Linked DNA regions of Oryctolagus cuniculus. The main gene of each other region encodes a partner of the protein of the gene in region 2 in a complex. Links are inferred from orthologs where the notes say so. Each region holds a gene or a part of one and is shown on either strand. Other genes may lie near its edges.

Evidence for each region.
Region 1: the proteins of INTS2 (region 2) and INTS6 are in contact, whole or in part, in a cryo-EM structure (PDB 8RBZ), measured with the Homo sapiens proteins. The link is inferred for Oryctolagus cuniculus from reciprocal best matches to the Homo sapiens genes INTS2 and INTS6. Residues at the interface, in NP_065799.2 of Homo sapiens: Ile855, Asp856, Pro857, Leu858, His895, Arg923, Glu925, Leu926, Lys927, Ala929, Leu930, Ala932, Ala933, Gln934, Ser936, Ala937, Gln940, Ile941, Glu944, Asn1010, Lys1013, Leu1014, Phe1017, Gln1018, Gly1019, Tyr1020, Pro1021, Ile1046, Ala1047, Gln1048; in NP_036273.1 of Homo sapiens: Ile484, Val486, Arg487, Ser488, Arg489, Phe527, Gln528, Val529, Ala530, Leu531, Leu532, Asn533, Phe541, Arg542, Asn543, Ala544, Tyr545, Ile547, Arg549, Leu552, Leu553, Leu556, Met559, Arg560, Asn562, Leu563, Leu564, Lys565.

What each region holds. Positions count from the first base shown.
Region 1 is NC_091440.1:70,840,884-70,845,277, forward strand, and holds the start of INTS6 (integrator complex subunit 6), read right to left. Parts: upstream 3,003-4,394; 5' UTR 2,456-3,002; coding exon 2,345-2,455; intron 2,200-2,344; exon of another isoform or gene 2,110-2,199; intron 1,963-2,109; coding exon 1,885-1,962; intron 1,095-1,884; coding exon 945-1,094; intron 1-944. UniProt on the Homo sapiens protein: Component of the integrator complex, a multiprotein complex that terminates RNA polymerase II (Pol II) transcription in the promoter-proximal region of genes.
Region 2 is NC_091448.1:35,558,149-35,561,953, reverse strand, and holds part of INTS2 (integrator complex subunit 2), read right to left. Parts: intron 2,266-3,805; coding exon 2,194-2,265; intron 2,109-2,193; coding exon 1,994-2,108; intron 1-1,993. UniProt on the Homo sapiens protein: Component of the integrator complex, a multiprotein complex that terminates RNA polymerase II (Pol II) transcription in the promoter-proximal region of genes.

The DNA.
Region 1 (4,394 bases), on a different chromosome or scaffold from region 2:
AAAAACCACCCCTAAATGCACAATTTTAATAGTGCTTTGTACTACAATGAAAGACTTGAACTCTTTTGTGTATAATATTCTGTGCTTATGAATAACACTACACATTCTTCAGTATCTTTTTAATTCTAAGATAACAATATCCTAAAAAGTCATATGGATCACCTTGCGTTATTCCTTAGTGAACCATCATTGTGATTCAAAGCTTCTCTCACACTCAGATACAAGTGCTATACAGAGACAGCAGGTCAAGGAAGCTCTGTCCTATTTTCCAGACAGCCTTGTTTTCCTTGATGGTTTGGAGATTTAGACTTTGTTTTTCTAATTAGGAAAAGTAAAAACTCTGGATTCTGGACCTGTAATTTAATTCAGACTTTCTCTTGCAATAATTGCTAATTAGAAAAAATCGTAATGTACTCAGCCAGTTATTGTGCTTCCATAAAAATCTTACCTTTGAGAGAACTCACACAATACTAGAACACAGGGTTAAGTTAAACCCTGATGCAACCAACAGGATAATTCCCTCTGCCATGTTTACTAAGATGGAAATGAAAACCACTGACAACTAAGTCCAACTTGGCCACCGCTAAAGCTGCACACCTGCCTGAGGATGGAGGAGCAGAGCAACTGAGGATGCTGAGGTGCGAGGTCTTCCTGGCCTGTCTCCCGTGAACTTTCAAGGAATGAAAACCACATTCACATTAAACTCTACAGCAAAGACTTCAGATTCTACTTCTGAATACAAATGCCTTTTAAGGGAAAAGAAACTAAGGGATATAAAACCATGCACAGTAAGTCGGAGCTTCACCTTTGTACTATGTGCATACTGTATTTTACTCTGAAATGTTCCACACTTGCACTTCACCTTAGATAGTTTGGGACTGGGCTGTTTTCTTTTTCCCCACAAGAAAAATCAACTATTTTTCCACTTTTAATATTCAACCTACCTGCCCATAGTTGTCTATGCCAGTTACTAATCTATTTAAATTTAATAAATCAAAAGCTGTCCTTAGGGATTGGCCAAGAGTCGTAAGTCCTTCAGCCTGAAGGTTTTTCAGTTCATTCATAAACGTTGCATGGTTTTCTTTCCATCCGGCCTGAAAAGAAAAACGTGAGAATTTTTTTTTCTTCCTGTAACGCTAAATGCACACGGCCAGCCGTTACAATCTGACGTGCACCATGTAGCTGCTTCACTTTGGGTTGACATGGTTGGGTTAACGTGTTAATACTGTTATCGCTGCTGAGGAAACTCTCTGCCAAAGGTAGCCGGCAAGCAACCGGCCTGCTCTACAGCTTTTGGTAGCCAGCAGCCTGCACACTTTCTAACTTCACACTGGGAAATCTACTACCTAATCTAACACTCAAAATGTGGGGATGCAAACGTCCTAGGGGCAGGCGGCCGGGAGCGGCACTTGGGAAGTTAACCTCCAGCAGCCCTCCCAGGGCGAATCCGAGCAGCCCCAGCCTCGCAGCCCCCTTCGGCGCGCCTGATTCCCCTTTAATGCAAACCGGGGCTCGGCGCGGCCGGGCCCGGCTGTCACTCGGGCTAACTTGAATAAATATCCCCCACAGTTCATTGCTGCCGCTCACGCCGCGGAGGGGAAATGTCGGCCATGTTGATCGCAGCGCCGCCGCCGCCGCCGCTGCCGCCGCGGGGCCGGGCCGGGCCGGGGAGGGGACGGCGGTGGCCCGGCGAGTCCGCGCCGCGCCGGGACGCTCCCGAGCGGGGGAGGGGGGTGGGAGCCCGCAGGGGAAGGGCCCTCCGCCCCGGGAGCGCAGCGGGTGGGGGAGGGGAGCATAATGAAGGGTGAATGGGGGGGCGGGGAGGGCGAGCGAGGAAGGAACAGGGAAGGGAAGGAAGGGAAGGGGGAGGGCGAGGGCTGTTACCTTGATAGCATAGGGCGGCTCTTCGAAAGTGACCAGCATATACCTGTCTCCTCTGCTGGCAGGGTCCCGGGCACGGAGCTGCGGGCCGGGAGGAGGAACGGGGCGGGCGAGAGGGAAGCAGAGAGGCGAGGTTACGAGGCGAAGAAGGGGCGCCCAGCGTCCCCCGCCGCCCCCCACAGTATCCGCACACGCAGCGGCCACCCCTCCACGCCGCCCCACACACACCGATCGCTCCCTACACACCAGCCCCGGGGCCGGAGCCCGGGCCCGGGCCGAGCCCGGCTCGCAGCGCCCGCCCGCCCGCCCGCCCGCGCGGTGGGGGAGGGGGTCCCGGAGCCCGGCAGCTCCCGCAGTCAGGTCCCCGACACCCCCGCCCCGCCGCCCCCAGCCGCCCTCCCCCACCCTGCCGCCCGCGGGCCGCCGGGCCGGGGTCGCCGCCCCGGGCTCGGTCAGTCGGTACCTTCATGAAGGTCTCTACCGCGCCTTTGGCCGTGTCCAGGTAGGTGGTGCCCAGATGGCTGCGCTGGTTCATAGAGGCAGACGTGTCTATCAGGAACAGTAAGATGGGCATAGTGCTGGCCGGGGACACCGGGGCCCGAGGTGGTGGAGAAAGAGGAGATGGTAGAGGTGGAGGCGCCGGTGGCGGCGGCAGTCGCCGCCGCTACGCGGGGCGGGGGAGCGCGGCCCCCGGGAGGAAAACACCGTCTGGGTCTTTCCTCCGGCTGCGGGGAGTTTCTCCCCCGATAGTTGAGAGGAAACTCCCCAGACCCAGTCCTCCCCGTCGTACCCCCGCCTCCGCCTCCTCCTGCCTGCCTGCCCGCTGGGGCGGGCGCCCGGCCGTCTGTCTGTCGGTCCGTCCCCCCCGCCTCGGGGGTCCCGTCCCCGCTCCCGGCCCCTGTGTGTGTCCCAGCGGGAGACGGGCCTGGCTCCCCCACCCCACCCCCGGTGCAGGGAGTGGGGACCTGGGAGCTGGCGAAGAGGGGAGTGGGCTGAGGGGAGATTGGCCCTGGGGCTGTTGGGAGAAGTTTCAGGGACTCCCTCCGCACCCCGGCGGTGTCACCACTTTCTCAGCCCCTCTCGCTACTGAAGCGCTTTTCTCTCTCACACTCCGGTTTTAACTCGGGTAGGGGCTGCGGGGGCTCCGCCCCCTGACACGTCCCCGGGCCACGTGACGCACCGCCCCGCAGCTCCATTGGCTAATCCCGAGGCTCTTATTAGCATATTCAAACAGGTCAGGGGCGGGGGCTGCTTGTAGGCCGGCTCTGAGGGTTGTTATCGAGCATGCGCGGAGGCGGGGCGTCGGGTGCGCGCGAGAGCGAGCGCGAGGGACGAGCAGGCGGGCCGTCGCGGAGGCGGGCTCTGGGAAGGGGCGGGGACTGGCTTCGGAAGGACCGCGAGGTGGGGGGCGGGGGCTGCGTCGGCGCGCGCAGGGCGGCCGCCACTGTGAGCCTGCGCGTCAGGGCCACTGGCCTCTCCTTGGCTGTTGGAGGTGACAGGGGTCGGAGGAAGGCAAATGGAGATTGTCCTCAGCTCGCCCTCCGAGGTCGCTGGTAACGTGGACGACCGAGGAGGGCTGAGTAAAGTGAACACACACTCGGTTAAGGGCAGGGGGCAGGCCCGCGGCCGCCCTCGCGAGGAAGGCTCGGGACCCGCGGTGGCGGGAGGAGGTTCCCGGGCCTGGGAGGGCCGGCCCAGCGCGGGCGGGCCCGGGGCGGGGGAGGGGAAGTGAGAGGTTGTTTATGACCGGGGACTAATCGCGGCGAGTCACACCGCTCCCGCTGGGGAGTGGGCCCGAGGGCCTCGCCTCGCCCGGATCCTCGGGCGCTGCGGGGGCGACGGCCGAAGGCTGAGGGCGGCGCTCGGCAGACCCGGAGCCTTGCCGTCGGAAGGGGCACCCAGAAAGCCGCCGAACCCGGGAACGGCCTAGGGAGAGACTGGAGCTTATGGATAAGTGCTTTGCTACCCTTTTTATCCTGAGCAAACGTAACTGCTCCTTCCCAGAGAAAAAGACTTTTTCCAAGCTGTTTACTCAGGGTCATAGGATATCAGTTTCAGAGTTGAAAGGGACTTTAGCAAATCATCCATTGCCCTCATTTTAAAGTGAAAAACCTGACATGAACTTGCCCAGATAACACAGTGACGGGGGTTCCCAGAACCCTCCCTTACAAGCAGCCCCTCCAACTCCAAAACCCGTGTGTGTGTGTGAGAAGCAGTCTCGGTCAAGCCCCTGCCTTACCTGAAGTCATGAATCTGCTCCGAGAAAAACAGCTTCCTCGAACTCGCTGAAAAAAATGAAGACTGCCTTAGATACAATTAAGAGACTTAATTAAGCGGCCTTTGTAGGGATAGCTAATTTGTAGGACGCCTCCCGTTAGCCTGTCCTTTCCAGATTTTATTCTTTAATCTTGAAATTTTATGTGCCTACTGATCATTTAAAGAAATTGTTCCTATTAACACAGAAGACATGTTGTGGCATTTTTTTTTAAAATCTTGAGTTTCAAAACTTCCCG
Region 2 (3,805 bases):
GCTTTTATTATCTAAAATGGCTGGGCTTATATAAAATTTAGTATTCAAATGTAAGTACACAGGACTGGTGTTGTAGCACAGCAGGTTAACACCCTGGCCTCAAGCACTGGCATCCCATTTGAGTGCCAGTTTGAGACATGGCCGCTCCACTTCTGATCCAGCTCTCGGCTATGGCCTGGGAAAGCAGAAGTTGGCCAGACTCCTTGGGCCCCTGCACCCACGTGGGAGACACAGAAGAAGCTCCTGGTTCCTGGCTTCAGATTGGCGCATCTCTAGCCGTTGCGGCCAATTGGGGAGTGAACCAGCAGATGGAAAACCTCTCTCTCTACCTTTCCTCTCTCTGTTTAACTTTGACTTTCAAATAAATAAATAAAATATTTAAAAAAAAGTAAGTACACACTCTGCTTCAGAAATAATGTCTCAAACCCAACATTAAAGTGTGTTTTCCCTCAGAAACAGAATCAATATAAAAACAGCTTATTAAATTCTATTATTGTCATTTAAAGTCAGTGAAAGGAAATGCATAATTTGATAAATGGAGCTGGGTTAGCTATCTTGTTGTGTGGGTAGTAGGAATACACACCAATACATTTTAATCATACTCACACTATCATGCACCCAAATGAACTCCAAATGGATTAAATATTTAATATAAAATATGAAGCCACAAAAAAAACCACTAAGATAAAATGTGACAAGTTACAAAAACTTAAGGAAAGAAAGTTTCTAAGCACAATGGCAAAATAAAAATCACAATAGAAATATTATACTACATAAAAAGTGATAATTTCTACATAGTAAAAAATACTTGACAAAATCAACTGTAACATTATACTTCACTTTTAAATATACTAAGTAATATAAGATACATCACTGACTTAATAGTAGTTTTTCAAGGAAACAAGGGAGGAGGGGGAACACCATCACATTTACACTACATGCCATTGTAAAATGAATCATGAGTGTCAGTATTGGGTAAAATGCATGTCTTAAAATCAACAAAACATGATTATATAAGGCAGAATGGTTTTCTTTTATAGGGAGAGCCACTGATCAATCAATGAAAGGAAAAATAAAAATTTCTACAGAAAAATTAGGATACTAAAAGAGTTCTCCTCATACACAAAGAAAACAATCAAAACCCATAGATTTGAAAAACTACAGTTTTACTTGTAAACAAAGAAGTACAAAATAAGTAAAAACATTCTTCATCAAATTTACAAAGACTAAGAAAAATGGTAATGCCTAGTAACAGTGGGAGTTTACAAACACAGAATTTCTCATTCAGCAACAGGGACAGTTAAACTGGTGTCATCTTTCTGAAAGGTAATCAGGCAATCCTCATGAAACATCTTATCATAATCATACTCCTTTACTTAGTCAACTTCCTTCTAGAACTTTATCCTAAGAAACAACCTGATAAGCATATGAAGACATAGATGTGTGAGTGCCTGTATGCAAATGAAGGGTCTCAAAAAGCTTCTAAAAAGTGTTTATTAAGAAAAAAGTAGGCATGGATTTAAAAATTTTTGCATCAAAATAAGCTTACTTTTTAATTCTACTTTTGCACATACTTTATGAAGTACCCTCAGAGTTATATAAAATACCACTGTAGGGCCAGCGTTGTGGCAGAGCAGATAAAAGGTACTGGTTGGAGTCCCAGGTGTTCCACTTCCAATCCAGCTCCCTGCTAACAGCCTGGGAAAGTAGAGGCAGTTGGCTCAAGTGCTTGTAGTATAACTGAAATTTCTGAATGACAGAATTAGATTTTTTCTCTTGTTTTGTATTTTCCAAGCTTTCTGTACTGGACATCTATAATTCTTACAAATAAGTGTTCTCCAAGTGCATTTTTTCAGGAGCTCATGATAAAACTTCAAACTATCAAAAAACTAAAATTGCACAAATGAAAACAATCTATTTACTTGACACTACAATAACATGTCCAGCTTAGAAGCACTTTCTTTTAGAAAGAAGATTAAAAAAACAAAATTACCTTCATCCCCAAAGTGGAACACACTAAGTCAATGATGGCACTAAGTTGGTTGCTGTGAAAGTACATGGCCACCAACAATAACATCTCCCCAAATGAAGCAGACACACCTGAAGTGCTGTGAAAACAGAAAAGAAAATACAGCTTTCCAAAAAGAATGAGAAAAGCTTTCTAGCTAACTGAAACAAATCAAGTCGTCTTACCTCTCAAAGTAGGCTTCTTCTTTTATCATCCAACTTAGCCACACCACCATGAGTTGCTCCTGCTCAGGTGTACTACAGAAAACAGACCAGTGTGTTACTGGTTTAAATGAAACAAAACAGCAACTGATTAAGAAAGCATTCTGAAATAAACTTTGGTAGGAATTAGTACTTCCTTTCCTACTTTAAAATATCAAACCAAATTAACTGCTGGCTAAATCAAGCCACTGTCACTCAGATATGAAGTGGCAGTTCCAGAGGTCAAGGATGGGGATCTCTGTTTTCCACAAATCTCAACAGTCACAACCTCTCCAGGTCTTAGTTACTGCATTTGCAAAGTAGAGACACTGCACTTTGTCACATTCCTTAGAAAAGCAAGTATCTTTTGGGATTAAAATGTTAAAAACTTTATCAATAACTGATTTTTTGTTTATTTATTTGAAATGTAAAGTTACAGGGACTGGGGGGTAGAGAGAGATTTTCCATCCATTGGTTCATTCCCCAAATGGCTGCAGTGGCCAGAGCTGAGCCAGGACAAAGCCAGGGGCCAGGAGATTCATCTGGGTTTCTCACATCAGTGCTGGGGCCCAAGAACTTATGCTATGTTCTGCTGCTTTCCCAAGTGCCTTAGCAGGGAGCTGGATCAGAAGTGGAGCAGCCAGGGCTCGAACCAGCACCCATATGGAATGCCTGAGTCTCAGGCTGCAGCTTAACCCATTAAGCCACAATGCCAGCCCAATACTGATTTCATATAGAAAAAAAATCTAGTAAAAAATTCAAGCATCAAAAGACCACAAAATTTAGTACTAAAAAATAACAAGCTACTTCATCTGTTCCCTGAAAAATGAAATTTAATTTACAGAAACCTTGAGCTTAGAATTCAAAATTATAGAGTAATAAATGAGGACTAAGCATGAAACAAGAGGGGCCAGTGTTGTGGTGCAGCCACCAGCGAAGCAATATCCCATATAAGCATCAGTTCAAATCCCAGTTGCTCCGTTTCCTATTGGAAAAACAGAAGATGGTCCATGTGCTTGGGCCCCTGCCACCCACAATGACAGACCTAGATGGAGTTCCAGGCTCCTGGCTTTGGTCTGGCCCAGCCCTAGCCAGTACAGCCATTTGAGGAGTGAACCTGCAAATGGAAAACTTCTCTCTATAACCCTGCCTTTCCAAAAATAAGTAAATCTTTAAAAAAGAAAAAAATATGAGGAAGAAGAAACAAGACAGCCAGAGGCCGGCGCTGTGGCTCACTAGGCTAATCCTCTGCCTGCGGCACTGGCACCCCAGGTTCTAGTCCCTGTTGGAGTGCCACATTCTGTCCTGGTTGCTCCTCTTCCAGTCCAGCTCTCTGCTGTGGCCCGGGAAGGCAGTGGAGGATGGCCCAAATCCTTGGGCCCTGCACCCGCATGGGAGACAAGGAAGAAGCACCTGGCTCCTGGCTTCGGATTGACGCAGCGCGCCGGCCATAGCGGCCATTTGGGGGGTGAACCAACGGAAAAGGAAGACTTCTCTCTCTCTGTCTCTCTCTCTCTGTTTAACTCTGTCAAAAACAAACAAACAAACAACAAAAAAAAAAAAACACGACAGCCAGGAACTCCTGACAGAGAAATGA